Regions from separate parts of the Mus musculus genome. Here all the other regions are reported to be linked to region 2. The links are microRNA targets in miRTarBase. Many come from high-throughput screens and were not tested one by one. Region 2 holds a microRNA gene; each other region holds the end of a gene's coding sequence.

The links. The annotated mature microRNA mmu-miR-290a-5p reads ACUCAAACUAUGGGGGCACUUU and lies in region 2 at 5,027-5,048, shown strand. An mRNA with a match to its seed (bases 2 to 7 or 8) in the 3' UTR can be bound and repressed. Matches are read on the target gene's strand: a 7mer-m8 pairs with bases 2 to 8, a 7mer-A1 pairs with bases 2 to 7 and ends in A, and an 8mer does both.
Region 1: miRTarBase lists Dusp3 as a target of mmu-miR-290a-5p. Seed matches in the 3' UTR shown: 7mer-m8 at 4,302-4,308 and 7mer-A1 at 3,552-3,558.
Region 3: miRTarBase lists Prpf4 as a target of mmu-miR-290a-5p. Seed matches in the 3' UTR shown: 7mer-A1 at 3,038-3,044, 7mer-m8 at 3,310-3,316 and 7mer-A1 at 3,991-3,997.
Region 4: miRTarBase lists Csf2rb as a target of mmu-miR-290a-5p. Seed matches in the 3' UTR shown: 7mer-m8 at 4,626-4,632.

Annotation. Positions count from the first base shown.
Region 1 is chr11:101,969,046-101,976,728 of GRCm38, forward strand. Dusp3 (dual specificity phosphatase 3 (vaccinia virus phosphatase VH1-related)) reads right to left here. Exons shown (of 3, transcript NM_028207.3): 3 at 2,098-5,894. The coding sequence ends at 5,689. Among named protein-coding and RNA genes, the nearest start is that of Sost, 5.9 kb to the left of the region's middle.
Region 2 is chr7:3,213,613-3,221,295 of GRCm38, forward strand. It overlaps Mir290a (microRNA 290a), which reads left to right and starts at 5,014; the gene lies at 5,014-5,096. Mir290b (microRNA 290b) reads right to left here and starts at 5,083; the gene lies at 5,026-5,083. It overlaps D7Ertd143e (DNA segment, Chr 7, ERATO Doi 143, expressed), which reads left to right and starts at 5,172. Exons shown (of 1, transcript NR_028425.1): 1 at 5,172-7,403. It overlaps Mir291a (microRNA 291a), which reads left to right and starts at 5,307; the gene lies at 5,307-5,388. It also overlaps Mir292, Mir292b, Mir291b, Mir293, Mir294 and Mir295, and 1 more gene. RefSeq lists a cis regulatory region at 1-1,990.
Region 3 is chr4:62,420,689-62,428,371 of GRCm38, forward strand. It overlaps Prpf4 (pre-mRNA processing factor 4), which reads left to right. Exons shown (of 14, transcript NM_027297.3): 11 at 1,490-1,612; 12 at 1,727-1,834; 13 at 1,915-2,033; 14 at 2,530-6,302. The coding sequence ends at 2,723. Rnf183 (ring finger protein 183) reads right to left here. Exons shown (of 3, transcript NM_001379625.1): 3 at 6,852-7,683. The coding sequence ends at 7,299. Among named protein-coding and RNA genes, the nearest start is that of Gm30589, 9.9 kb to the right of the region's middle.
Region 4 is chr15:78,346,503-78,354,185 of GRCm38, reverse strand. It overlaps Csf2rb (colony stimulating factor 2 receptor, beta, low-affinity (granulocyte-macrophage)), which reads right to left. Exons shown (of 14, transcript NM_007780.4): 12 at 7,452-7,509; 13 at 6,709-6,812; 14 at 3,185-6,114. The coding sequence ends at 5,001. It overlaps Mir7676-2 (microRNA 7676-2), which reads right to left and starts at 5,587; the gene lies at 5,526-5,587.

The DNA.
Region 1 (7,683 bases), not on the chromosome of region 2:
CCTGCTGGACGTAACAGGAAAAATCAAGCGAGCAGAGAGTGGCCAGGCTCTAGATTTTGTTTATTTGTTATTTTATCTGTAATTGAAGTAGTGTCAACAAGAAAAAGGGTATACAGAGAAACTGAGCTTACCAGCCTATCTCTCTGGACCCTCCTCGGCCCATGGGTAGCCCTGCCTTTTCACAGGATGGCTCGTGGTGCCTGCCGTCGTGCCTGCCTTCTGTTTGGGGGCCTGGTTTGCTCGGTTTGGCTTTTTTTTTTTTTTTTTTTTTTAAGATTTATTTATTATATGTAAGTACACTGTAGCTGTCTTCAGACACACCAGAAGAGGGCATCATATCTCGTTACAGATGGTTGTGAGCCACCATGTGGTTGCTGGGATTTGAACTCTGGACCTTCGGAAGAGCAGTCGGGTGCTCTTACCCACTGAGCCATCTCACCAGCCCCTTGGTTTGGCTTTTGTTGTTTTCTTTTTTTCTTTTTCTTCATTTGAGGTTAAGTCAGTAATCGATGCTTTTACTCAACACAAAACCCTTATCATTTCCCAAGGTTAAGCTGCAGTCAAGCCCCAGGGTCTCAGTGGATCCCTATTGACTGCAGTTTAGATATTTCTGTCCCCCACCCCCACCCCCACCCCATGCTCTCAGCGAGGCCGCTCACTATAAACACTCTTGTGTGACATAATGGGTTTGCTGTTTGGTTTGGTTTGGGGACGACGGTCTTGCTGTACAGCCCCAGATACCTTCAAACTCGCCATCCTCTTGCTCCAGCTTTCCAAGTGCCCGTGGCTATAGGTGCACACCACCACACCTGGATAGGTTTTTTGTTTTTTAATTCTTCTTTTTTTTTAATATTTTGAGATAATTGTAATAGACAGTTCTTGAAATAATTCGGAGGGATTTTATGATCTCCCTACCCATTTCCCCTCCACAGCTCACCAAAGATGCCAGTCCAGCACCACAGCCAGGACGTGCAGTGCGCCGACGCCGACACACTCACATCCATCCTTACTTACCTAGGGCTCTCTCATGATGCCTGCGGCACGTGCTCATGCATCCGCTTCTACACGACCTTACCACGAGACTCGCCTGTCCGCCTTTGGCCCCAAGGATCTGCCCTGATGTCTTTTTTCATTATTTCTTTATTAAAGTTTTTGAAACAGGGTCTCATGCACCACAGGCTAGCTGAGGGCTAACCTTGATCACCTCCCGGAGGTGGAGATTAGAGGTAGCTGTCACCACAGCCCGTTCTTTCTGTCGCTTTTTGATGGAGTTGTCCACATGTCTCACTCACCCCAGCTCTCAGCTCACAGCAACCACTCATCTAACCTTGATTTACATCTTTTTCTTTTCAATTTAAAAAAATGTTACGCAAATGCAGCCAATGCAGCCAATACCTGGGGCCTTCTCTTTTCACCCAGCATAATTCCCTGGAGTTGTCCAGTAGTGGGTGCAATGACTGGTATTTATCCTCCTCTAGTGTCCTGCAAAGAATTTTCACTGCCCAAGTTCCCCGTGCTCCCCCTACTCATCCCTCTTCCTCCATCCCAACCCCCAGCACACCCTGAGTTCTTTTCTGTCTCTGTAAGTCTTACGTTAGCCAGAACACCATGAGATGGACTTACACAGTATGCCAGCTTTCCAGAGTCGTACCTCCAAGGGCTAGGTTTTAGGAGGTTTTTAAAGGCTTCATTTTATTTTTATGTGTGTATCTGTATGTGGGTATGTGCTAAGAGCAGATGCCCATGGAGGCCAGAGGTCCTGGATCCTCTGGACCTGGAGCCACCCAGTATAGGTTCTGGGAACTAAACTCAGGTCCTACCCAAGAGCAGTGTGCACTCTTAGCTGGAACCCTCTCTCCAGCCCCTAGGTGATTATTTTTAAATGTTAGAAAAATGCTGTACTGGTGTGGTGGCATGTGCTTTTAGTCCTAGCACTTGGAGGCAGGGACAGGGGCAGGGGCAGGGGCAGGGGCAGGCGATCAGAAGTTCAAGGCCAGCCTGAGATCCTACCTCAAAACTAACAACAGCACCACCACAGCAGTTATAAAGCACACATAAAAAGCCCAAACACACAAAAGGAAACACAAAACAGACGTCTTTGTAATGTAAGACATTTATTTTGGTTACAACTTTAGAGTGCGTTAACACTGGTGGTAGACTAGAGGCTAAACTTTCCTTTTCCTCCCGGATGGCAGGACCTCCCATGCCTGGCAGGTGACAGTGCTCTGCCTCACCCCACCATCCCCTGCCCTCTGAGCCTCTTCGGTCCACTGAATCACTTTTTACGGAGTTAACCTAACGCTGGCAGAGGAAAATGGAATACAAGTTAAATATCCAGCTATTCTCTCTATGCTACGATCAGGACAAAGCCTGTAAAAGAATTATGAAAAAGACAATTTCCTGTGAGAAAATCTCTTATCCTCGTATTATAAGATCAGTGCTTCTCTTGATTAAAACATTTAGCATCTTAAATACTATAAGCAACTTAAGGTGGAAAGGCACCCGCCTCAACAGTGCCCCCTGCTGGCCATGGCATTATCCACACCCACTTGGGGGTGGCGGGTGTGCTAAAGGCCAAGTGAGAATTCTTAAAATAACTTAAGAGTGCTGGAGCCCAGAAGAGCCTTAGTATGGGCCAAGAGTTCCCTCATTTGGTAAGTGTTAGTCTGTGCTCTCAAGACAATAGAACAGCAAAGAAACAGACCTACCCCTGGAAAAGGCAGGCAGACTTTAGAAGATTGAGAAGAGAAACCATTTTTATGTTTGTAATTTTTACCTGGATGTTTATAAGTCATAGAAAGTGGCTGGGTCTGAGGAAGAGGTTGGGGGGGGGGGGAACACCCTTAATTCCTATTCCACCACTTTCCATGGATAGAACACTATCCAGGATTCCCAACCCCACCCCCTACTCACGGGCAGCCACGGGGTTGGCTTTTCCACAACATCGGTATTTTACCTGAAGAATAGTAGCTAGTTTTATAAACACGAGGCAAAGCCAACCAAGAACCGTTGTACTTTCAGCCCTAATGGAAAGCCAGGAATCTCCCAAAGGCTCTTTCTTCATGTTCCCACAAAGAGGTTTCCAGTAGGTGCTAGTGACTGTCCTGTGGCTGTCCTATGGGGTGACCAACCCAGAAGAGGCAGGGGGAGGGAAACCCACCCTCAGAGTGGAGAGTTCAATGCTATGTGTCACCATGTGTTACCTAGACAAAGAGAGACTGTGTCCCAATCGACTGGGGAGCCACAATTTTCACTTCCTTCTCTGGAGATGGCTCAAAGTCATGTGCACTTGGACACTGTTGGGGGCAGATTTCAGGTCCAAGCCAAGAACAGCCTCAAGCAGCAGGCCTGAGACTGCTTCTACTTAGCTTTAACGAGCTGGCAACTCTTAATTATCTTGAACTTTTTTTTTTTTTAATGGAATCTTAGTTGGGCAGTGGTGGCATTCGTCCCAGCCCTCAAAGGCAGAGTCAGGCAGATCTCTAAGTTTGAGGCCAGCCTGGTCTACAGAGCGAGTTCCAGGACAGCCAGGGCTACACAGAGAAACCCTGTCTCAAAAACCAAAGCCCAAAATCCAAAACCTAGGATCTTGGGACCGTAGCCCTGGCTGGAGTCTCGATACGTAGACCATGCTATCCTTGACCTTTCGGCGGTCTTCCTGTCTCTGCCTCTCATGAACTGGGCCTGTAGACATTGCAATCATGCCTGGCTAGCCCAGATGTTTTTGGTTTGTGGTGTTTTGTTTTGTTTTGTTCTTTCCTCTCTTTTCCTCTCTCATAACACATGAACCAGTTCTGTCAACTCTACAGTGTTATTTTGAAATGCACATTGTATTGAGCAAGAGAGCCGCTTGGAAACTAAAGACTGAGGTACACAACTTGGCTATGGTCACTTCATTCTGGGCCAAAAAAAAAAAAAAAAAAAAAAAAAAAGGATGACCAGCCCTATGTGACCAGGGTTGCTGTGGTCACACAGAATAGGGGACAATGACCATCCAGGCTGCACAGCTCTGCTCCTGCTGTGATCAGAGGTCTTTACCCTGGGAGTGACATCCTAAGACAGGTCTGCTTCTCCTGCCTCTTGCAGCAGCTCTGGAAAAGGCATGTTCCTTACCTTAACCATGAACACTGCTGAGTCTTACACTTAAAGCTGAATTTGAAATATTCAACAAAAATCCCTGATATTTCTTTCCCTCCAAGGAAGGTTTCTCTGCAAACTCCTGTAAGACATCCTACAGGCAGGCAACCAGGCTGCTGGGATCCGGGTGCCCCACGACAACAACTCTCTCTATACACGGGGTACTCAAACAGCTCTGGTTCTCATAAAATGGGCTTTTATGAGACGCCTATGTGCCGGGTGCTGGGGTGGTGGCTGACGGCTCTGCGTGACCCCGGAGACATACAAATAATGAGAACGTGAAGTCCCAAGAGGATTATGTTCAATCTCTGGCAAATGTGCACACATACAAGGTCCAGCGAGGTTCAAAAACCACCCTTAGAAAGTTCTTTTAAAGGCTGTTTCTTTCTTTGCTCTCTCTCTCTCCATTCTCATGGTGCCGCCAAGTCTCGTTTCTGTCCAGCGAGTCAGTTTCAGGATCCTGCACAGACACCGTGGAACCAGCAGAGCCTCCCGTAAATGGCCAGGGTGAGCAGAGGGGCCTTTCATTTTCCTTCTGTCCCCAAGGGGACAGGCACCCCTTCCAACATATGCACCCGTGCACACACCCACGGACATGAGCTGCAATTGGCTAGGTTCCTCCTCCTAATTATTCTTAGAATAGCAACCAGGATGGCAAGCACTTGGCGTGATGACTTGAACTCACCAACACTATAATTCAGGATAAAATCCTTGCAATTCTCCAAATGGAGGTCCTTTGTTTGTTTGTTTGTTTGTTTGTTTGTAATAGGCTGGACTTTACACCCTGTATTCTGAAAAGGGGGAAACCCTGCCCAAGGCATCGCTCTTCTAACAAGCAAAGGAACAGAGCCATCCTCAGGGAAGGCTCTGAAGCAGCAGATATAGATCGTAAGCTCTCTGGCAAGGCACACTTTAAACATTCCAAAGAATCAAGATAGCCTCTGGGAAAAATGGATTTGCTTACCCAAGGGCCCCTATGTAGTATCTTTAATTCTAAGGAAATAATTTTAAAATGCAGCCTTTTTTTTCCTTCTTTTTGGAAATCTAGTCACTAATCTATCTCCACTCTGCTTCAGAACTTAATGTCATTCGTCTGCCTCAGCAGGGCGTGTCGGGCTGTGAGGACCAGGAACAGACATGGGGAGGTCAGGGCCTGTGTTTGCATAGTTCCTTTACCAGGCTCGTGGTTCTGGACCACACAGGAAGAACCCAGGTGGGGGAGGGGTCATGAAGAGTGCCCGTGTCCCGGGCCATGCACCCTGATAGCCCTCCCACCCTGGGTCACTGAGATGTATCTATGCCACAGACAGGGACATAAACCTGAACCTCACCTCAGGGAGAGACATAAATTACAGGAAAGGATGGCTAAGGAGCAGAACTTCTTAGGGAGCTTCTTCATGTGCTCCCTAAGGGTGGAGTGGCCCCCGAGGACCAGAGTGGGACAGATGTGGGCACGTGTCTGGTGGTGCAGGGAGTGGGTATACTGTGTTTCCTAAACATGGCTGCCAGGGCCCTCCCAGTCAGACCTCTGCAAAAGAGGCTGTGGGCACCCTAGAGTTTCACCTTGCCCTCCTTGGCTAGTCTGTCATTGAGCTGGCAGAGTTGGGCCAGGAAGCCATCGTTGGGGCCGATCTCACGATTCTGCCTCACAGTACTCAGAGCAGACTTGACGTCCATCTTCTGCCGCATCATGAGGTAGGCGATAACTAGCGTTGGGGAGCGGCTGTAGCCCTCGCGGCAATGGACAAGCACCCGGCCTGCAAGAAACAGGGGAGACGTGGTAACTGTGGAAGCCCAACTTCACTGTAACAGTCAAAGTCTTCCATACAACAAGCATATCACCATGCACCCACCCAGAATGACCAGGGACAGCAGGGTGTCAAGAGGTTCTCCACCGCGGAAAACTGGCAACAGCTACTCACGTTGAACACCTGCGCCCCCTACTGCCCAGCAATGGCATGCTGGGAATTGAACTCAGGACCTCTGGAAGGGCATTCGGTGCTCTTAACGGCTGAGCCATCTCTCCAGCCCCCTAATAAGTCTTTTTAAAAAAGAATTAATGATCTAGGTAGAGAGTAGTGAGAAGGCTCAGTGGGTAGAGGAGCCAATGTCAAGCTGATGAGTTGAACTCCAACCCCGAATCCACATGGCACTGAGAACTTTCTGTAAGTTGTTCTCTGGCAAACCGAAATAGCTCAGTTGGGAGAGCATTAGACTGAAGCTGTTCTCTGGCTTCCACGCTCATGTCCAGTCCAGTCATCCCTTCACCTGCAGCATGTGCGCTTCCCCGCCCCCATCAAAGAATTAATGATCCAGTCAGGTGTGGTAGTACACATCGTAATTCCAATACTCTAAGAGGTGGAGACAGGGAGTCACTTTGAACTGCAAGTGCAAAGCCAGTTTGGGCTATGGAACAAGCCCCCACCTCAGGGGAAAAAAAAAGAATATGGAGATGTCTCAGTGGGTAAAGGCATTTGCTGCCACACGTGATGACCTGAGTTCAACCTCTGGAACCCACATGATTGAAGAAAAGAACTGTCCCCTGTTCACAATACTCTGACATCCCCACACACTGTGCCATGCATGGGCCCACACGCACACACAACTACAATAAATAAATACATGTAAAAACGCAGAGTAATATGCAACTTACTAGAAAGAACGTGTATGAGGCACACAAATGTGTGGCTCCACAGAGCAGAAAAGAGGCCCAAGTAAACCAGGTTGTTAGAAGCCTGAACAGTGGTAACCTGGGAGTACTGTAGGCAGAGACGTGGGAGGGAACATGGAGTGGGCTTTCTGGGGTGGTAATTGTGTGTGTGTGTGTGTTTTAAAGATTTATTTATTTTATGTGAGTACACTGTAGCTGTCTTCAGACACACCAGAAGAGGGCGTCAGATCTCGTTATAGATGGCTGTGAGCCACCATGTGGTTGCTGGGAATTGAACTCCGGACCTCTGGAAGAGCAGTCAGTGCCATCTCTCCAGCCCCTGAGTTTTGTTTCTTGATCACGGGTTGTGCCATTCAGTGAACTGCACACTTTGTGACCCAGACCTTCTCTGTATGAATGTTATCCTTCAGTCTTGAACAAAACATGAAACCATGTAAGTTACCACTCGCCTGTCATCCTAGCACTCAGGAGGAGGAGGCTGAGGCAGGAGGATGGCAAGGTTGAGGCCAGCTCAGGCTATAGAGCATTACTCTCTCTTAGCACAAAACAATGTACATAATTAGATAAGCAAGATATTCTAGCTACATGTGTCCATACAATGGAACCCAGGCGGAGAAATGAAGAAGGGTACTGAGAGCTGCCTCAGCAGTTAAAAGTGCTTGCTTTAGATTCAAGTTTGGTTCCCAGCACCCACACCAGGCAGCTCACACGCTGCCTGTAACTCCAGCTCCAGGGACGGCCATGGCCTCTTCTGGCCTCCATAGTATCTGTACACATGTGGCACATGTGCATACACACAAACAAATAAAAATATGTTTAAAAAAAGAGAGCGAGAGAATGCAGTACAGTAGTGTGTGATAGCAGAGTCAGAACCC
Region 2 (7,683 bases):
AATGAAGATGGGATTGACCAGCCCCTCCAATTGCATCAATTAATTTTGAACCTAAAAGGATTTCAAGCCCAGAGGGGAATTTACAGAAGAAAGCATTCTTATTGTAATGCTCAATCCTAGTAAACAAAGCCAAGGGTTGGGTGGCAAAGGGAGGGAGGACTGGGTCATTACCATAAAAGCCTTGCTGCCGACATGCAAATGACTGTCCTTCACCCCAGCCAGTGGAGTTTTGAAAGAAGTAAAATGACTCTCCTTTTTCCGGGTCCTTACTTCACCAGCTGTCAAATCTCATCCCGCAGTTCTGTGAAATTTCCAGTACCTTCTCTCATAATAACTTAATGCTACTATGAAGAAAGAAACAGATGGGGTGGGAGAAGTGACACCAGGTGAGAGGGTCAGTAGGTAAGTTCCATCCCCCGGACCACAGAGGAGAAGGAGAAATTTCTTCAGGCCAGCTGCCCTGTGATTTCTACCAGAGCACCTTAGCATGTGCACAGCCTCCCAACCCAATAATGTCATTTCAAAGCCCCACACTGAGTAGTAGCTGTCTGAGAGTCCCAGGATAGCCAGGGCTGTACAGAGAGAGGTACCCTGTCTGTTGGTGGACACCTTTAATCACAGCACTTGGAAGGCAGAGGAATGCAGATTTCTGAGTTTGAACCCAGACTGGCTTAAATAGAGAATCTGTGTGTCAAGATAAGTAAATAAACTGACCTGCGACCCCCTAATCACATAGGAACAGAAAATAAATATAATCACTTTATATAATGTAGTGTTAATAATAAGAAGAAAAAGAAAAGCCAGCAGTGTGTGTTAGGAAAGAGACAGCAGGTGATTTTTCTGTAGTAGACAAGTTTGAGGCCAAGCAGCTCAGCCTGGGATTATGAGGTCATGGCATGAGTTTGAAGCCAATGAGCTCAGCCCTGTGACTATGATTCTGCCAGCCTCCGTGCCATTCAGACTCCAGGTAACGAAGGAAGTCTAACTAGTTTGCAGGTTAACAGTCCCTTTGGCTGGGGAGAATGAAATACATCTCCCTTCGGATTTGAGCCTGGGAGGACTTGGGAGCAGGTACCTCGCCTGGTGCCTCACTTCCTAGGTGCAGTACAAACCTCAAGATCTCTGCTGGGGTCCCTGAAGCTCAGCATGAGAGGAAAGGAAGGAAGCCCAAGGTTGAAGGCAGGGCTGATAAAAGCAATGTTTTTGCTAATTTTCATATATCCCCAGCTGTCTTTTTTTTTTTTTTTTCCCGAAACAGGGTTTCTCCGTGTAGCCCTGGCTGTCCTGGAACTCACTCTGTAGACCAGGCTGGCCTCGATCTGAAATCCACCTGTCTCTGCCTTCTAAGTGCTGGGATCAAAGGTGTGCGCCACCACACCGGGCTAAAACAGCTGTTTCTTAGTGTCATCATAGAAAGGTTTTTGTCAGAACCTTGGAAGGCAGCTGACAATGATAAAGAGGAGAAGGGGAGCCAGAGTGGCACCCCACCTTTGCCCCTCCACTTCTGAGCTCCCTGCTAGGCCTAAGGGTCAAAGGTAAACTCTAAGGAGGCCTTATGGAGGACTTAAGAGATGCTTCTACATTTTTAACCCTAGGTGCTTTCAAAAGTGTTCTTTATGGAGCCCTTGAGCTGTATTAATGTATAAACAGGTATACTGCCAAACTCAAAGACCTGAAGGCAATCTCTGGACCCCAAGAGGTAAGACAGAACTCAGTGCTACAAGCTACTGTCTAACACCTATATGCTTCCATTTCACCTCTGCCCCTCCCTGCAACATACACCAAAAATAAAACTTTTTTTTTTTTTTTTTTTTTTTTTAGGCAGGGTTTCTCTGTATAGCCCTGGCTGTCCTGGAACTCAAATCCGCCTGCCTCTGCCTCCTGAGTGCTGGGATTAAAGGCGTGTGCCACCATGTCCAACAAAACATAATTTTAAAACGCTCACTGTGGGCCAGCTTGGTACAAGCCCATACTCGAGAAAGCAGAGAGAGATGCGTGGATTTCTGTGACTTGGAGGCCAGCCTGGTCTATATAGTGAGTTCCAGGCCTCTCTTGCCTAGCAAGATCCTGTCACAAGAAATAAGCAAGTAAGGAAGTGAGTGAGTGAATAAATAAATAAATAAATAAATAAATAATAAATAAAATTCTTAGGGTTAAGTTAGTGGGGCACTTTGCTTGGTTATGTTCAACACAGTATGAACAGGGAACAGAGTTGCCAAGGCCATCTTGGGAAAGTTGAAGAGAAGCTAAATCAGTAGCTCATCCCAGGCTAGGCTCCTGGCATCCTAGCCTAGAAAGATCCAGTCAGAAAGAAAGAAAGAAAGAGAGAAAGAGAGAGAGAGAGAGAGAGAGAGAGAGAGAGAGAGAGAGAGAGAGAGAGAGAAAGGAAGAAAGAAAGAAAGGAAGGAAGAGAGAGAGAAAGAAAGAAAGAAAGGAAGGAAGGAAGGAAGGAAGGAAGAGAGAGAGAGAGAGAAAGAGAGAGAGAGAGAAAGAAAGAAAGAAAGAAAGAAAGAAAGAAAGAAAGAAAGAAAGAAAGAAAGAAAGAATTATCCTTCTTGTTGCTGCTGTTTGAGGCACAGTTTCACTTGTAGCTGCTTGGCCTACCCATTGCTGGAATTAAAAGAATGTGCCATTATACTTGACCAAACCCATATCTCTATCTGCTTCCCCAAGCCTAAGACCTAGCAAATTGCTGGTGAGGCTTGTTTGTTCAATTAACAAGACATCTAAAGTATATTAAATATGCCTGGAATTAATGACTGAACTGGGCATACTGGTATATGCCTATTCCAGCCCTTGGAAGATTGGAGACAAAGACTTATGAGTCCCCACTAACCAAAGAACACACATGGGCTGGACCTAGGCCTCTTTGCTCACATGTAGCCGAGGTGTAGCTTGACCTTCATGTGAGTCCTAAACAGCTGGAGCAGAGGCTATCCCAAAAGCAGTTGCCTGTCCCGGAGTTATGATGGTCAAACTGGGCTGCTTTGTCTGGCCTCAGTGGGAGAGGAAGCACCTAGCCCCACAGACTGGAAGTGCTGGGGGGGGGGGGGCGACTCAGAGGAGAAGACTGGGGTTGGGGGAAGGATTGTAGAAGGAGGTGACCTGGAGGGGGGCAGTGAGTAGGATGTAGGGTGAATACATTTTTAAAAATTAAATTAATTTTTTAAAAATGTTCCATTACACACACACACACACACACACACACACACACACACACACACAAGGTGTAGACTTAGGAGTCCTAAATTATTCTTGGCTATTTAATGAGCTTATGGCCAGCTTGGCGTACTTGAGCCTTGTCTCCAAAAAACAAACAAACAAACAAACAAACCCTAAACTCCAAGTCTGCAATATGCCTCTGTAGCTTTAGCCCTGCCGCCTGGAGACCTAATTTCAATCCATGGAGCTATTTAAAGATATTTAATAAATAATAATAACAACAACAATAATAATAACAAAAGAAAAACAGCCGGGCATGGTGGCACACGCCTTTAATCCCAGCATTTGGGAGGCAGAGGCAGGCGGATTTCTGAGTTCAAGGCCAGCCTGGTCTACAGAGTGAGTTCCAGGACAGCCAGGGCTACACAGAGAAACCCTGTCTTGAACCCCCTCCCCCCCAAAAAAAACATATTTAAGCATAGGAGAAAACTAACTCTATCATATTGTTCTTGGACCTTCATATTCAGTGTGGGAAAGAAAGAAAGAAAGAAAGAAAGAAAGAAAGAAAGAAAGAAAGAAAGAAAGAAAGAAAGAAAGAAAGAAAGAAAGAAAGAAAGAAAGGTAAAAAAGAGGGAGGATTTGAAACTCTGGATTTAAAAAAAATTCAAACGAAAGAATAAACTGAACCTCCCACATTCTTCCTTTATTTATTTTTATTATTATCTTAATACTGAATGTAGCCCTGCCTAGTCCCGTGCCTAGTCACCATAGTAGACCAAGCTGGCCTTGAACTAACAAAGATCCTCCAGCCTCGGCCTAGAAAACTATAGGATTAAAGGCGCTGCTTCTAGAAACAAACAAAGAAATCTGTTTCCTCTGGGGGGTGGGGGGGAGAAGAAACCAGTGAAGGTCACTCTGCCGCAGGGAAACTCAGCTCAGAGGAAGCAGGGTGGTAGAGTAAGGATTCTCCGGGGTGGGGGAGGGGTATCAGAGCCTCCCAGTCCAGGGGGCCAATGAGCCTTCAGACTATATAAGAACCTAGAGCCTCCCCCACGCCTCTCAGAGACTTCTACTCCACATCGGGAATGCTGGTCTCTGCGGTCTTCAGGGATACCTCCGGCGTGCTGCTTCTCACATAGGCAAAGGTAATATTTTTAGTTTCAGATTTTTTATTTCCTTCAGTTCTGTGGTTTTAATCTACCTGGTTTAGAGAGGCGAAAGTAGATCCAGGATTTCCAGAAGAGAGATCTTCCTGCTTCAACTTTGGAGATGACTAGCCAGGCTGGCCTTTAACTCTCATTTCTGCCTGCCTCTCTGCCTCCAGATTAAAGGTCATCACGGCCATCTTCATTCTACTTTTTAAAAACTAGAGCCCCTTTTTTAAAAGGCAGGCTAGCCGCGAACTCAGCCTTCCTCGCTCGCCCCCACGGTTTGGCTGGGTTTACTAATCCCGAGGCAGAGGCAGGCCCATCTGAGGTTGGTCTGGTCTCCAAAGAAGACATTTAGAACTAATGTGTGTGGAAAAAGAGTTGGGCTTTTTTTTCTGACTTGGTCTACATAATTTCAAGGGAGGAACGAGCCTATGTGGGGAAAGTGAGTAGTCTGGGCGCGAGTGAAGTTTGGGGACCAGAAACCAAAGCTAGGAGTTACTGAGGGCAGGTCTAGGGAGTCTATGCAGTACATTTCATTAACTACGTGGTTTCATTGTAGAAATTTTGAGTTTCACTATACCTTGAGTTAGACCGATGTACTAACTCTTCCTTGATTTCATCCAGGTTTCCTTCAGGTTGGAGTGAATTTTAAGTTCTCCACGTTCTTTCCTCCTGGTAAATGTTTTAACGTCTGGACCGCCTCATCTTGCGGTACTCAAACTATGGGGGCACTTTTTTTTTTCTTTAAAAAGTGCCGCCTAGTTTTAAGCCCCGCCGGTTGAGAAAACGGCTATCTGGCACATTTACCAGCCCTGGTGCCACGTGTTCCGGGTTAACTGCAGCGTGGTGAGTACGGATTCGAAGAAAGGAATGAGACTGAGTATAGCGAAAGGCTAGGGATGGGCATCCTGCCCAGTAGACGGTAACTGAGGTGGTCGTTGTAGGGTACCTGGGGGCTCCATGTGCGTCCTGTCGCTGCTTGGAGCTGTTACACCTATGTAGCGGCCATCAAAGTGGAGGCCCTCTCTTGAGCCTGAATGAGAAAGTGCTTCCACTTTGTGTGCCACTGCATGGGGAAAACATCATAGCTTTGCATCTGACGCATCGGTTTACAGGAGCGGACAACCTGTGTGGGGGTTTAGGCTTGGAGTTTAATGGGTCCTATCCTAAAGAGGGCGGTTCAGTTGGGTGCCACGAGACGCGGATGGATGTAAGGCAGTCGTGAGTCCAGGTGCATTGTAGATTGTTCTTAAGCTTGACCTCCAGCCTGTGATACTCAAACTGGGGGCTCTTTTGGATTTTCATCGGAAGAAAAGTGCCGCCAGGTTTTGAGTGTCACCGGTTGAGAACTCAAAACGGCTAAGAACTAAGAATTAAGTTTTAGTGGGTCATGTTTTCACTGGGGTTGCATTTCTGGGCAGGTGGGTGTCACATGTGGGTTTGAGTCCGAACACTTGGGCGCATGCGGTACTAAAGGCTTTCCGCGTTCATAAAGGAGCCGGGATCCCACATGGGCCTCGCTCGGAGGAGCTGAGCCTCAGGTCTTGGAAGTTGGAACATACAGTGTCGATCAAAGTGGAGGCCCTCTCCGCGGCTTGGCGGGAAAGTGCATCCATTTTGTTTGTCTCTGTGTGTACATGGCGTCTGAAAAGCCGGCTGCAGCTGCAACCTGGAATCGCTTACCTGCTTGAAACAGGTATGTGTGCTGGAGGTGAATTCGTTGCCACTGGCTACTCGAGCTGCAAGGCTGGAGGTGAGGAGGAAGCAGGGCAGGGTGGAAGGAGGCACTCCAGGTCCAGGGGTGGTGAGTCTAAGCCTCAGGTCTGAGTAAAGAAAGGCCTACTTTTAAATCTCACGTGGCCGCCATATTAAGTCCTCTTTCAATTTTTTTCCTTTTTCTCCAAACAGGGTTTCTCTGTAGCCCTGGCTGTCCTGGAGCTAACTCACTTGTAGACCAGCCTGGCCTCAGCTCCATCCACCTGGGATTAAAAGATCCTATATATCTTGCTTGACTACTGTAGTTGCTATATCTTGCTTGACTACTGTAGTTGGACTGATGGTTGTGAGTCTTGATATGGTTGGATTGAATTTTTAGGACCTGCTGGCTGTAGCTGACTTTAACCTGGCTCCTAGCACAAACAAGCTTGGTGGACAGCCGGGTAGATAATACCCATAATACCTTTTGGCTTTACAATAGCCCAGGCTCATGAGGGCTGGGATTACAGGTGTTACATTGTGTGCCCTAAGCATAATCTTCATGGATTCTCTTTGTTTTTCAGGTGTTCCAGTTGAGTTGAATGTAATCCTGCCTAGCCTGGGGTACTTACTTGCCTTCAACCTGCCTGGCTGGCTGGTCTGGCTAAGAACTGACTATAAAGTTTCAGGTTTATTACCACAGCAGGTCCCTGTGGAAATGCTTCAATCTGTGGTACTCAAACTGTGTGACATTTTGTTCTTTGTAAGAAGTGCCGCAGAGTTTGTAGTGTTGCCGATTGAGAAACTGCAGTTGGCCTAAGTGTTGCATCATTTGGGTGTCATCTGTGGGTATGATTCAGTCTGTAATGGGGCAAAAGTAAAAGCTGAGGTGCACGGAACCTCACGGGAAGTGACCCAGATTTGACAGGTACTGTATTACATATAGCTGCATTTATCCTTTTGGCATTGAATAATCCTTAATCTTCAGTTCAGTTGTAGGCATGTTTGGATCTAGCGAAATTCCATATAGCCATACTCAAAATGGAGGCCCTATCTAAGCTTTTAAGTGGAAAGTGCTTCCCTTTTGTGTGTTGCCATGTGGAGAAAGCATCGGAACTTCAATCAACCAGAGACTCCTTGCTTGCTCATCTTGGTGAGACTCAAATGTGGGGCACACTTCTGGACTGTACATAGAAAGTGCTACTACTTTTGAGTCTCTCCTGTGGGCACCATTCACAGGTCGGCTGCTTTCATGCATGTGTAGTGTGTATCTGAATCCAGATGAAGGTTTCCTGGAACTGGGACATGTGGGTGCTATTGAATGAACCAAGGTGCTATGGGAGCAACCAGTGCCCTCAGCCTCCAAACATGAATAATAAAGTCTTGTTCTCTTGATTTTGCTGCTTTCTCAGTTTTTGTTTTAAAACACCCGCCATGGTTCCTAGGGATAAAAAAAGCTTGCAAGCATGCAAGCACCCTTTTAATCACTGGGGTTGAGACTAAAGGTAATCCTGGGCTATACAGAAAAACCCTGTCTGAAAAAATCCCCAAAAGTTAAACCAACACATAGCTGGAAGTGTTTTCAACAGTAATAGGGCACCTTTTGGGAGACACCCCTGTTTGCCTCTTGGGATTTAGGCATGCCACCCCTCCAATGGTTTTAAGGAAGAATTAC
Region 3 (7,683 bases), not on the chromosome of region 2:
GGGCTGCCAGGCAGTGGTGGCCCACACCTTTAATCCCAGCACTTGGGAGGCAGAGGCAGGCAGATTTCTGAGTTTGAGGCCAGCCTGGTCTACAGAGTGAGTTCCAGGACAGCCAGGGTTATACAGAGAAACCCTGTCTCAAAAAACCACAAGTAAAGAAAGTATTTGGGCAAGCTGGATTCAGTGCTACACACTCACAGTCCCAACATTCAGACAAAGATCTCAAGTTTAAGGCCAGCCTGGGCTTCAGAGTAAGACCCTGTTCCCCAGCATAGAGTCTTAAAAACATCTGAGCTCTGCCCACTCTGGTTCGTAGCTGTGTTGGTGTTTGCTGTTGCCGATCGTTCTGTTTTACCCATTGTAAGCACGTGGTAATATTTCTGTCGGTGTTCCTATCCTGATGGTGGTGGCACTGGAGTGGTTTCCCCGTACACTCACACATCTTGCTTGTCTTTGGTGCAGTCTCTAGCTGCTTTGCCCTTCTTGAGTTTATCTATTCTGTATTTGTAACACCAAAGCTGTTTGCAACCCTCATTTAAGATTTTTGTTAAGAATTCCTTTAACACCTTTAATGAAAACATTCTGATCGTACACATTTGGGTCTGTTTCTAGATCTGCTGTGTTTATTTTTCTTTAACGCCCTAATTTCAATTGAGACTCCAGTAAATATGCAAATGCCTGATAGGGCAAGGCGTGCAGCGGCAGAATGAAGGGGGAAAGACAGTGCCATCTTTGCTGGGCTGAACCCAGGGCCCTACACACACCAGGCAAGGCCTCCCTACTATTGAGCCCCAACCCCTACCCCCCAGAATTCTTTTTTTAAAAAACAGCCACTAAAGTACAGAATGTTCATGGTCTCCCAGCTGTCGCCTAAAACAAAGTCTTGGTGGTGAAGCATTGTTCATTGTTCATGTCAGAAAGGCCTTTCATTCATTTGTTCGTTCTTTCTTTCTTACCTTTGTTTTTTGGTTTTTGGGTTTTTGTTTTTGTTTTTTTAAGATTTGTTTATTTAAGCCAGGTAGTGGTGGTGCACGCCTTTAATCCCAGCACTTGGGAGGCAGAGACAGGCGGGTTTCTGAGTTCGAGGCCAGCCTTGTCTACAGAGTGAGTTCTAGGATAGCAAGGGATACATAGAGAAACCCTGTCTCGAGGGGGGGGGGGGGAATTTATTTTTTTTTTTTAGTATACAGTGTTCTACGTGCATATATGCTGCACACCAGAAGAGGGCACCAGATTCATTATAGATGGTTTGAGCCACAGTGTGGTGGTTGCTGGGAATCGTGCTCAGGACTTCTGGAAGAGCGGTCACTGCTCAGCCATCTCCGCAGCCTGGCATTTCTTGTTAGTATGGTTGAATGAAGAGTTTCGGGAGCCTGAGCTGAACTATGATTGTTTATAGTACCTTGTCATAGTAGACACTTCCGTCTGCTGGTTGATCGTTGGTGTAATTATTGGTAAGTTGGCAAATTTATTCTTATTTATTTTTAAGTTATGACCGTTCATGGCGCTTATGGGATTTAGAGGCTCAAGAGGAGATCCTGCACCAGGAAGGCCACAGCATGGGTGTGTATGACATTGCCTTCCATCAAGATGGCTCTTTGGCTGGCACTGGGTAAGACTTTCTCCACAAAGCAAGACCAGGCAGCTTAGTGGTCTCACCTCTTAGGCAACCCCACTTCCTCGTCAGACTGGATTCCGTGTATTCATACAGATGTTATCTCCTCAGGGGACTGGATGCATTTGGCCGGGTTTGGGACCTACGCACAGGACGCTGCATTATGTTCCTGGAAGGCCACCTGAAGGAAATCTATGGGATAAATTTCAGCCCCAATGGGTAAAGCAAACTAAGTGGATGGGAAGGGTCCTGGCCAGACAATAATCTCTGTTCCTAACTATGATACGTCTGATCCTCAGCTACCACATTGCCACTGGCAGTGGTGACAACACCTGCAAAGTGTGGGACCTTCGGCAGCGACGCTGTGTCTACACCATCCCCGCCCATCAGAACTTAGTGACCGGTGTCAAATTTGAGCGTAAGCTTTTCTCTTGTTCTCAGCCTTAACACCAGACACCCTTTGCTTCATGGAATACATCCTGGCCATTAGACTAACTTAGACATGGAACCTTGTTAAGCAAATTTCAGCTTCCTTCCCTCTGCCATACCTATAGACAGCGCTATGGCAAAGCATGCCTTCTTGAAGCAAAGAGTTCTGCGAAGGCTTCATTTCATTTTGTCCTCCATGAATGTCAGGCACTAACTAGATGCTTGCTGTTACTGAACAGACCATCCACCTGGGAAAAGGCAGCCACACAGCCTTCATCTGTTACATGGTTATCCTCAGTCTGCTCATGACCGTCTCTTATCTTGGAGGCCCCTAGGAATGCAGAATGAATGAGTTCAGTTTATCTGAAATCAGAAATAACCTTTCTTTCAAAATAATGTGTTTTGTCGGGTCTTTGTCTTTTTTCTTTTTCTTAAGCTCTTTCTGAATACTTGAGTTCTTCATGTTTGCTTTATGTCTTCTGCAGCTATCCATGGGGACTTCTTGCTCACAGGTGCCTATGACAATACAGCCAAGATCTGGACCCACCCAGGCTGGTCCCCACTGAAGACCCTGGCTGGTCATGAGGGCAAAGTGATGGGCCTGGACATTTCTTCTGATGGGCAGCTCATAGCCACGTGCTCCTATGACAGAACCTTCAAGCTCTGGATGGCAGAGTAGGCCAGACCACGGAAGGACTCAGAACTTGTGTTCTCACGACGGAGCCATTTCCTCAAAGGAAAAGAATTGTATTGTGTTCTATCATGTTTCCTGCCAAATACCATGTGTTGGATTGGATTTTCACATCAGCCCACTCTTGAGGAAGCCTGTCTTTAGGTGGTAGCAAGCCCTTCGTGGTTAGAACAAAATTCTCATCTCAGGTTCTGCCAAAAACTGTAGATGTTGTATAGACTCAACACTTTTCAGTGCCCTGCCTCCTCCCTCACACTCAGGATTGTGACCGTTCTTTCATTTTTGTTTTTTTTATTTGGCATTTTGAGACAGAATCTGTAAGTATATCCCTGACTGTCCCGGAAGCCTTACATTGTAAGTAATCCTCCTGTCCTGCCCTTCGAGTGATGGCATTATGGAAATGTGCTGCTGTGCCTGGCAGTTGTATTTTTAGTGCTTGAACTTGGCTCTCTATAACATGGTATGTGCTTGGGACTACGGGTGATTCAGCAAGCAAGATAGCTGGACTGGCTAGGCAGTGGTGGCGCATGCCTTTAATCCCAGCTTGGGAGGCAGAGGCGGGCAGATCTCTTGAGTTTGAGGCCAGCCTGGTCTACAGAGCAAGTTCAAGGACAGCCTTTTCTCTACCCTGTCTCGAGGAAAAAAGAAAAAAAAGATAGCTGGACTGTATTTGAAATCTCCCCAGTTATGAGGACATGTCACCACCATTTGTGGCGAGCTCCTTTCCTGACGCCGAGAATGAAACCAGAGCCATAGACTGCAGCTGTGTGATAGCTCCACAGTAAAAAAGATTTTCCCTTTCTGTGGTGTTCACGAAGGATGTTCACTGCAGCTGGGACTCAGAACTGCACACTTGGCCTTGTTAGAGCCAAGTTAGAGCCTCTTCCTTTTGGCTTTGAAGTTTGATATCCTTCATGACAAAACAATCTGGCCATTGTATCCAGATTCAAAGGGGTTTTAAAAACAAACATGATGTCTGTGTTGTACAGCCTCCTTCCTGTTGGTTATTTAAAGGGTGTACCTTATGTATTAAAGAACACTTCATGTCAAAGGAACTGGAAAAAATCCTAATTTATGTTTGGGTGTTACCAAACATAAACTTTTATATATAAATACACACACACATACATACATACACACACACACACACTTGCTGAGAGTAAAATCTTACTATAAAAACTCTTTGAAAGGATTATTTTCTATTTCAGCATTTTGTGAACCTAACCATTTGTCCAAAGAGATCCCCTTCTTTAGTTTTGAGATCTAATGTAATTCTAGGCCTGAATTGTTCCACTTTCTGTTACTTTATTCAGATGTTTATTGTGGTGTTTTTTGAGGGGGGAGGAAGTAGCAGGTTTTTGTGACAAAGGGTCTTACTGTGTAGCTCAGATTGGCCTCAGAGTCAAAATCCTCCTGCCTCTGCATCTCAAGTCCTGTAAGTTGTAGGTGTAAGCCATCAGTCACATCCAGACACTAACAGCTTCTTTACGTAGAGTTGTTGGCCCAGGAGAACACCAGGTTTTCAGGTGTGTCTGGGTTCCATAGTTCTTCCTCATCAGTCAGTGATTGGCTTCACCTTGCTGCACTCCAGAACTGCACGGTAAATCCGCACAGAGCAGTAATTTCAGAGAAGGTTGTGTATAGTGTGAAATTCCCTCTCCAGAATTGGAAGTTTACACACCATCGGCTTCCTGTTCTGCCCTGCTCTTCTGTAGATCATGAATATATGGTATATAACAAAACATTTGGGGAGGGGCTGGTTTCTCTGTGAAGCCCAGGCTGTCCTAGAACTCACTGTAGACCAGGCTGGCCTCAAACTCAGAGATCCGCTTGCCTCTGCCTTCTAAGTTAAAAGTATGCTCACCACACCCAGCTAAACATGTGATTCCAGTCATAACCAAGTATATTCCGTATATGTGGCTGTTACGCCATTCAGGCCTTCCCTTCACTTGGCACTTAACCACCCTTAACCTGTTCTATGAAATTACCATTTTCTTGACATCTTACAGTGTTTGTAAAATGATGAGACTGGCATAGAGCCCTGCATTCGGGATCTGGCACATTTGAGTTCTCTGGTCTGAACCTTACTAGGAACTTAATTTTCGGTTGATCCAAGAGAGCATTCGAGTTGGAAATGTTCCATGTAAGCCTTAGGCCGAGCAAGTGTCTGGGGAAGTAATCCATTTCTTCAACCACTGTAAGAAAATAGTGGATTCTGAATGGCAGAACCACTGTCATTTAACCCTACCTCAGTGGTGCATCAGGCACATTAAGAGAATTCATTCTTTTAAGGTTGCTGGGTGGACTTGAATAACTGCTGAATTACCCAGCTGTAAGCAGTGGAACTATGTGAACCAGTATGAAATGATTGCACAGTGCTTTATGGAGAACGTTGGCCATTGGCAAGACCAGGACCGGGCATGTGGCCTGATTGCTGACTGGTCAGCCTTTTTACCTCTCTGCCTGTGGATGCCATGGACAAATCACTGACTTTATGAACAGTGGACTTTTCCCACTCCTGTGTCTTGATTTGGAGCTTAGCAGAGTTGAATCTTAGGATAGGTGATACTTCTTAGGCACCGCTGCAGGCCTCCGTCCCTAATCTAAGCACACCCAGTGGAAGTGCTGCCAATGTAAGTGGGTGAGACTGCTTGCTAGGATTTGATTCTGAAATATCCCGGCACTGTTGTGCCATTAAACCCTCAGGACATAGGACCTGGCTGGTACAAATAAGTCACCAACACAGGGTTGTCGGAAGTTTTTAGCCCAGCTTCTATCTCCAGCTGCCCTCTGCTTCCTGGTATGCTCTGGTGTGGTGAGCATCTGCTACAGGCTCCTCCCTGTGCTCTGTACCCTCTGAAACCTTGAGCCCCAATCAACCTCCCCTCCAGCTGTCTCTAACAGGTATTGTGGTGACTAACACTGCCCCAAGGTTAGAACTAACAAATGCTAAGTAAGAGCTAAGATCCTAACCCTCTGTCTCAAAAAAAAAAAAAGGAAGGAAGAAGAAAAGAAAATCTGTTCAGTATAACAAACTACTAGTTTTTGGTACTCCCCGGCATCCTGAGAATGTAAGTTGTATTCTGAAGGAAAGGGACTCCAAGGTTAACCCTAGGCTGAGCCTCGGCTCCAGCATCTGCTTCCTTGGGCCAGGGTCTCTGGAGGAGGAGAAATTCCTTCTTGGACTTTTTCCATTTCTTCTCTGCCCCTGTCCCTCTTAGTTCATAGAATATAGAGAGATGTTGCCAGACGTGCTTGCTACAAAGGTAAGCAAAAATGTGTAGAGAAGTGAAGTTGATAGGAAATGTGAGGTTCACTATCAGTGCAATTACCTGATGAGGTCAATGGAGACAGGTGATAGTCTCAGGAGGAAATGTGGGTACCTTTACAGTTTTCTAGTGGAGAAATCTCCACATCGGAGCTTAAAACTGTCTGGTTTTACTAAATCAAAATATAATTTATATATTTTATAATATCTTACTCCTTTGTGCCTCTAAGGAAGTTATAAATAAATAATACTTCTGTGGAAATATTCTTTAGAGCAAATAAAACTGACTCAAGTTCTGATCTCTGACAGCTTAGTCTATAAATTTAAAAAAAAAAAAACCTCTTTTTCTAATTGTGTTTTAGACACTTTGAGATGGCTTCAAAGTTGGAAGCCAGGACATGTCGGAACCAAAGAGGCAACATTTATGTGGCAGAGTGTCAAGCAGCTGCTAGCTGGGCTTAATTTTAGGTTCTGTCCTATGAAGAGAAACCCAAGGTCACTTCCTGCACTCCACACTGCTCAAGCCTGAGAAGGCAGCTGAATCACCTCTGCCCAGGTAGTCTGCCTTAGCTTATAAGGGCAGAACTATGGAACAAGGCTCCATCTGTCCTGCACGCACTGCCCGGGAGGAATAGAGACGGTTACCTCAACCCCAAGTTCTTCCCAGTCACCCTGGCTTCCTTCACCTTTACATTCATCTCTTCACTCCATCTGAAGATGTCACCCTGTACACCCTCCCTTCCCCTGAGGGTGTTCACCTACCACCTCTGGACCATTCTGTCTTTTCTTCCTTCTCAGTCTGCCCAGTAAAGGTTGTGTAAGGAAAAAAAAAAAAAAAAATCAATGACTTAAAGAATGCAGGCTAGCTTTACTGGAAACTGTGGCAAGAATCAGGAAAGGCTGAAAGGGGAGACAAGCACGTGGGCCCACAGAATTGAAACACTTTCCAGAATTATCAGCAACACACAAACAGCTCAACACTGCTCCAGTGAAAGAGGCTCCGAGCTCTCTCAACTAGTTGGATGTCTGGGTGGTGCTGTCCAGCCCTTTTGGCACAACTTGCTATGTAGCCATAGAACTGCTTCTCTACCCTCCATGACCCCGTAGTTTATGATCAGGTCCCTGGTCCTTTAGCTCTTCTCTTCCTGTTGGGCCGTCTCTGTTCTCCAAGATAGACCTAGCAGACCCCTGGGCTGTAAAATGAGCAAGAACGGTAACACCAAAGGATTCGCAATAGTCCTCGGTCCAGCAACCACTGAGAAAGGCTCTGTTCCTTGTCCTGGAACACAGAGTGCTCACCCCATGCCCCAAAAGAACTGCTTAGTCCAAAAGATGGAGAAGATGAGCAGCAGGGTGACACTGAGGATGACAGCCATCAGATAGGCGAAGATCCGGAAGTGAGGGTTGCGGACACACTCTCTGAGAGAGTAGTGACTGGGGATGGGCACCGGCCTGGTGTCAGGGGCTGTGTCCTGAGGGAGCCCAGTCTGGCTCCCAGGCTCAGCGCCAAGGTCCAGGGTGTAGACCCGAGGCTGACGCAGGAAGTAGCGGCTCTTGGGCTGGTCCTTGAGACAGAGCTGGTGGCCCTCTAGGATGACATGGTGGGGCTCTAGGCGGAGCAGGGTCAGCATGGCAGTGTCTGTAGGCAAGTCAGTGACTGGCTGCCCTGAAGCCAGCACG
Region 4 (7,683 bases), not on the chromosome of region 2:
GTCACACAGGATAGACTGTCTTTCTCTGGTAATGCATTGTCATGAATGTGTGAAATGTTCGCTTGGGCAAAACATAGATAACAAAACAGGATGCCAGAGTTTACTGTTGGCTTGTCCCAGGAGTGCGTTCTACTTAGATACACCAACTTGCCGGACTCCCAGAGAGGTTAGGGATTAAGCATAAACCACATGGATTGTGTACCTTTTAGATATTTGGTACTCTTCTCGGTGAATAGGAGGAACACTCCCGACAGCCAGCTTTCTGTCTGTCTTTCAGGTTGCAGACACAGTGCAACAGTCAGACTTTGAGAGAAGCTGTTCTTTTCTTTTTTTTTTTTAAAGAATTATTTTATTTATGAGTACACTGTTGCTGTCTCCAAACACACCAGAAGAGGGCGTCAGATCCCACTACAGATGGTTGTGAACCACCATGTAGTTGCTGGGAGTTGAACTCAGAACCTTTGGAAGAGCAGTAAGTGCTCCTAACCTCTGAGCCATCTCTCCAGCCCTCCCAGTCCCTGAGAAGCTGTTCTTAGTGCCCAAGCATCCATGGGCAGAAAGGGTAGAGTCCCAGATCATGTCTCCACCCATGGCTTAGGGAAGAGGTTCAAAGGCCACGGTCCATGATCTTCTCCTCTTGGTCCTGACAATGAGCAAAGGATGAAAGTCAGCTTTTAGCAAAGCAGGAGCCCTGCTCACCGCTGAGACACCATGGCAAGGATGTGTTTATCCTTGGAGATTACAGTACCCAAAATAAAATGTAAACTATAGACATATTTTCTTTGCTTTGTACTTTTACATAGGTTATTTCTTCTGTTACAAAACAACTGTGGATGCAGCATTGGAAATGGAGGAAATCAATAGTAAGCCTGGAATGGGAAGGCCTGACTCTATCTGTAAGTGTGTATAACAGGAAGGTAGGAGTCCACACGATAAAAGACTAAATCTCCAACCATGGACACTATTGTCTTAGGAACCACAGATGTAGCATGCTGCGTGTCCTGCTCTGTGCCAATTCCAGTCAAGGTTCCCTGAAGGCATCTCTGCACTCTCGTGTCTACTGTAACAACAATCAATTCTATATGTCTTCATTATTCTTTCATACATGTACAAGATACAGTTTGGTTGTGTCCCCCGCCCCCCCCCCCATTGTCTCTCATTACCTTTCCAATACCTGCTAAACCTCCAGTTCTTCCTGGTGAGTAGCCCTCCTGTTTTCAAATCTTTGCTTTGTGGGTTTGAGGAACCGTGTTTAAATAGGGCTGCTTATGTGAGTGTGAGTGGAATTTCTTTGTGGGGACATGAAAACATCACTGCAGAAGAACATAGCATTGTTCCTCTTGGCAATTGCTGAGAGTTAAAGATTTATAGAAACGTGACAAGGGACGCCTTATCCTTATAACCGGAGTGTAATATGAGTGTAATGGCCATGTTATATCAAGAAGTCAGTGCTTCACAGCAGTTACTCCCATCACCCGGCCCTTGCACACACTCTCCTTCCCTCTTCCATGGAGTTTCCTTAGCCTTGGAGGGTAGATATCCCTGCTCTGCTTAGGGCTGGGCACACAATGGTTGCTTGTTCCAGCACTTTAATCAGGCATGAGTCTGTGCCTAAGTTTTTTCTGTTTGTCTCCTTTTTCCTTTCCCTGAAATTCAACAATCACCCATGTGAAGAGGAAGGGGAAGGCATGAGAAATGATCCTGCCCATCTCCAGGGTTCTCCTCACAGAGACATTTCAGAGTCTTTGGCATTGGTGGGACCACATGACCCAACATCAGATCCCTCCCATGTGACCCAGCGTGAGCTCTGTGAGAATCCCAGCAACCCTCTAAAGGAACTGCATCCTGGCTTTAGCCCTTGCTTGATTTAGAACTCTCGAGTTGAGTGTTAGAGTTGTGATGTTATTTCCTCTAAATCTAATCGGGAAACTCTGGGAGGTGATGGGCCAGTCCTTCTGCCTCTTAAAAATATGCTTGCCCAAATGAGCCTAGGCTTTTTATCAGTCTGAGCACTAGCACTCCCTTGGCTGATTCCTAGGCCTTATCAGGTTCCTTTGTGCTCCTGAAGTCATTGTCCTGCCACACTGGGAGGGCAACTCTGCCGGAGATCAGTGTGTCTTCTGGGACCATGTGAGGTCACCACTCCTAGAGCCTGGGAGTTTGACATTCTTGCAACAGAGAAGGTGAATCTCAACTATGAACCTCCCCCCAACCCCAAATTAGGTGAGATCCTTTTAGAGCCAGGACACCAAGGCTTTCAGCCAGAAAACAGTGTTCATCAATGCTAGCACTGAGCAGCAGATCCACACTGAAACTGCCCAAGGAGTTCTGGAGCCAGAATGTCTTGTATTGCTACAGAAGCCCTTCCCCTTTGCCCCATTGTTCAATAGCTTGGCCAAATCAAAGTCAGTTTCACTTTTCCTTGCACATCTGTTATCCTGTTCCCAAGTCTGAAGTTTCCGTAAGCAATGCCAGTGGTGTGCAAATGGTTTTGGTAAGAATTAAATTCTTCAAGACTGTCTGAGCCTCTTCTGCTTCAGTTACTCAAATTTCATAACGTTCTCACCAGCTCTTCCCCAGTGGTGCATTCCACAATGACACACACACCATGCTAGGTGTTCTTAACCTCGAAGGATGGTGTAATATTTGTGTCTCCCCAAGTCATCATGATCCCAAATAAGACACAGAGAGGGTGGCGTTCATCAGCCCTCAGAATTGATATAATTAGAATTTATTTTGTATGTAGTGGAAGGTCTGAATTGAATTTCATCCTTCTGCATGAAGAGTGGTGTTGTGTTAGAACCATTAGTCTTTCTTCCAATGTAGATCTTTGCCTTTTCTGTAGGAAACTAAGTGATTATGATTTCCTTTTGAAGCCTTCAATAATATTTATATTTCTATTTTTCCATTAGTTAATTTATTTGTGCACTTTACCTTCTGATTGCTGTTCTCCCTCTGGTTCCTCCTCCACAAGTCCCCACTCCCACCCCATGTCCCATCCTATTCGCCTCTGAGAGGGTGCAAGGGTCTTGCGTATCAAGTGCCCTGTCTATGGAACCCAGTTACTTGACAAGGCACCCATGGGTTGGAACTGTCCCCATCCCCAACCTTCCAACACACACATAAACACACACACACACACACACACACACACACACATACACACACAAACACACACACACACTGCCTTGTTTTGCTGTTTTATTGTATGTAAACATGTTTATTACAATATTTCCTCTTATGCAAGGCACTTTGGCATTCACATCTTAACATGGAGGCCACTCCTGTTTGTTTCTCTAGAGTGGTCACTTTGGAAAGTATTGACAGGCTGATGTTGAACATTGCCACTGCAACACACTCAAGATGTTAGTGGTTTTCTTTGCTGCAATGAACAGAGACCAAGGGACATTTGATCTGCCACATTCTATGTCTGCCATCATGTGAGTGAGGCCAGGGGATAGGACAGACCAGATCCAGTTCATGACTTGGTGGATCATGGAGTGCCTGACAGAGCACAAATAGGTGAAGAAATGATACAATGTCCATTGACTCCAGGTCCATAGAACACATCAAGACTGAACTCTGTAGAGAGATCATGTGTTCTAGAAAACTCCAAGTCTCTCACTCAAGGCTTTAGACACAGAAGGAACCAGAAAGAACATAAACAAAGGCACGTGTGCACTTACAGCAAAGACCCCTGCAAACAGGGACCCAAAGACAGGTGTGGCTCGGCAACCCATCTCATAGCAATGCAGACACGCAATGGCTGACAGAGCTGGTGTGCCTCCTGCACAAAATTAGGACACTCAGGGGAGACACGTGTGGCCCACAAGAGGCCATGTGGGAAGAGCTATTCAGTCTCATCCAAAAAAGACAGTCTGAAGCACAAAACTGTTCATGAGCTCAACTTCCAAGTCTACTTCCTCGCTACCACCCAAAAAGCCAATGCTCGAGACACACACAAAGGCCATGTGCAAACGTGACCATGAACAAACAACTCCAGTGAGAACAGAATGAGGTAATGGCATTGTGCATGGATTGTCAAGAGGGTGGTGATGGCCAAGGGCCACAGTCTCACAGCAGACCCTCATCTGAGGCCGGTGGGAGCACAGGTATCCAGGCTTTGCTCTGGAGGGAGAACTAACGAACAGCTCAGCTGTCTAGACTTAGTATCTGGGTGTGCTGTCCAGGATCCACAACTAAGCTTGTCTGCAGTTGAGACCATGAGTTCTAGACACACAGCCTTCCCATTGCTTCTCATCCCTCCAGCCTGGCCATAGCTGTGTCCAGCTTTGTGCACATCAGTGATTTCTGTATATAAGGAGGGTACCAAGTACCCTCTACAAGGTTCCCCAGGTCTCCCCAGGAGTTTCAGACAACCATAGAGGACCATGTCTATTCTTGTAGCGACAAGAGCCTGCCCAATTGTACAGTCTGACCTCCCAAGGGGCTCACCTGAGACTCCCACCTTTCACACAGAGCCAGAAATGTGCTGTATTACCAATGCCTGTGGTGGACAAGCCGACCTCAGCAGTTCTTTTTTTTTTTTCTTTTTGGTTTCTCGAGACAGGGGTTCTCTGTATAGTCCTGGCTGTCCTGGAACTCACTTTGTAGACCAGGCTGGACTCAAACTCAGAAATCTGCCTGCCTCTGCCTCCAGAGTGCTGGGATTAAGGGAATGCGCCACCACCGTCCGGCCTCACAGGTTTGTAAACCCTAAACAGCCCATACCCTCACAGGCCTCATCCCCACTCCAACAGGTCAGAGGAATAGGAAGGAAGTTCCCATAGAAGGCAGAAAACTGCAGAGAGAGAGATGGGGGTGCATGGAGGGAGGGGAAGAGGGACAGAGGGGGAAGAGAAAAGCACAGGTGGGGTATTGCCATGTCAGGGCTGGGAGCAAGGAGGAGTGTGAACTCAGAGAGGCTTCTGTGGTGATGCTCAGGCTGAGGACCACAGGCTGCGGTGCCAGGCTGCTGGTGAGATTGGGAGGAGACAGACTCAGCACACCTTCCCAGACTGGCTATTGTCCCAAGGGGGCAGGGACAGGTAGTCCTGATGCTTTAGGGACTTGAAAAACTGAATGGCTGGCGCCTGGGGCATGGGCTGATAGGGAAACTTTTTGACAGACAAGTCCTGGACTAGGTCCTCAGTCTCAGAACACAGACTTGGAGAGGGTGGCTTACTGTGTGGTGAGAGGGAGCCAGGTCCCAGGCCAGGGAGGAAGCAGTAGTCCCCAACCTGCTGAAGAACAAGGAGGCCTTCGGGATGTGGGGATGCTGGGCCCACTTCCTCCCTGGGCTCTCCTGGGATCACTGTGGGGCTGCTTGCCACAGGAGGAGCAGGATGGCCTGGAGGGGACTTGGCAGCCTGGCTCACACTTGGAGGCAGCTCCACATAGTCCTCAAACCCTGGTGGCCCTAGAGCTGGGCTTCCAGAGGGGACCCTGGGCAGCTTAAGACAGAGACTGGGGCTTTGGGCTGAGGGCAACCCTAGAGAGGGGCCCAGAGAGGTAGACAGGGGCCCTGTGGGCAGAGTGAGCACCGGATCTCCAGGAGTGACATAATCAGAGGCCATCATACTGCCCTCAGGGCCCCCAGAGCTTATGGGCAGAGTCACTGGGTTGTCCCGTGCCTCCTGTTCCTCCATGCTCAGCTCAACTGGAGGGTTCTCCTTTGGCTCCACAGAAGGGCTCCCTGAGGTCTCCAGGCTGGACCCACACTGCACATCCATAGCCTGGCCCTGCCCCATCACCTGGGACAATGGAACCAGTTGCGCTTGACCTCCAGGGGGCAGACACATGTACTCCAAGGAGCCTGGCAGTGCTGGCTTCAGGCTCCCACCCACCTGGGGGGAACCCAGCTGGTCTGGGAGATCAGGCAGAGAGTGGGATTGGGGAGGCCCCAGGTAGGGCCCATTGAAGTCAAAGCTGGGTAATTGCTTCCTAGGTCTGTTAGGAGTTGGTCCCTCTACTTGAACATTGGGAAGTTGCTCTGTGGATTCGGATGAGGCAGCTGGGGTTGTATCAGGCCCGGATGGTGGAACTCGAATTATATTAGGGTCCTCTATAGTGAGAGGTGACACGTTGTTGTCTTCCAAATGTGCATATGACTCCCTGTCGGGACAATAGGGGCAGAGATGTTGAACCTAGGCACTTAGTGTATAGCCAGAGCAGGTGAGCTCTAGGAAGGCCTGAATCCCCTCTGGGCCTCACAGTAAGCACCGAGGCATGAGGTCCTGTGAATGACATGGTGTGTGTCCAGTGTCCCAAAGTGTCACGTGCTCAGGGCTCAGTTCACACCCCCATCCTAATGTTTGCTCTCTTCTGCTCCTTGCAGCAAGTGTGAACCTTCAGGGCCGGGTTCACACCTGCCCATATGGGGCTGCTGACTCCCTGACATGTGGGCTTAGCAGGCTGAAGTCCCACAGTGTGCACTCTCAGTCACCCATGAGGCCATTGCAGTGCAGGGCTTACATAGGTCACTTGGCAAGGAGAGGCTTCCTGCTCTGGGATGCTGCCTCTGGTCCCTTGTCTGTTTCACGCCAACCGGGGAGTCAGAAAAAGTCTTCCTCATGTCTACCTGGAGTGCTGTTTACTACAGTGGGCAGCCTCTCCTCTCAAATTCAGAGACCCACAGGCTACAATGATGTGCACCATGGACAGGTTTCCTCCCACAGGCTCCCCAAGGGTCAGAGCCCAAACACTCACCCCTGTTGCTCAGCAAGAAGCCTGCTCTGTGGCCCCTGGAGAGCGGGGTTCTTAGTGGCGAAGGCTGCCATGCTGCCAGGAGGCCAGAGACCTTTACCTCCATCCTACAAAGGAAAGGGCATTTGTGTCTGTGAATGTGGCACCTCAGGAAGGACACATGTGCATATGGTGTCTTCCATAAGCTCTGGACATGGGAAGAATGTCCCCCTGGTAGGGCCCAGCTCAGGCCTCTGACTCCAAGAAAGAAGAGGCATCCTAGGGGTTGTGTTCCCTTAGCCCTAAAGCTCCTGAGGTAAGCAGCCATGCTGTTCCCTATAGCCTCTTCTCTCATGGCACTGGTGTCTCCCCATGACCATTGTTCTGTGAGACATGGACAGCCGTGTCCTTCTGTCATTCCCATTCCTGTCTCAGGAGCTGACCCCCTGGAGACACCCTGGTTGCAATCAGCTCTCCCACCAGCTCTAAGGCATCTTGCTGTGCAGTGCTCAAGTCCTGTCCTGGAGACACTCAGCCCTGTCTCTACCTCCAGGAGCCGACTCTTCTGAGCCATTTTGTGCACTAGAAGGCTCTGAGTTCTGTCTGTGGCTCCAGACAGAACGCAGGCCAATTTGTGAGACTCCTCCTTCAGGCACCCAGGCAATACCAGATACCCACCTCCTGCTGCCTAGCCTTCCAGCTTCCCCTCGCTTTCCCACGGACACAGGAATGGGACAGGGAGCCAGCAGCAGGGCCTGCCTTCCTACCTGGAACAGGAGGCTCTTGCTGGGGTTGGGGATCTTTTCCTTCCACTTCCTGTACGTCCTGGAAGACAGCAGGAGGGTGGGGACACGTGTATGTGAGATTCCATAGACCTCTGTGCCAGCTACTTCTGTGCCCACGTATAGAGAGAAAACTGAAACCAGGGGAGTGAATGGTAGGCTGGGAACGAGAGTGTATCCAGCTGTGTCATCTCTGTGACCCCGGAGCCCAGTTTCC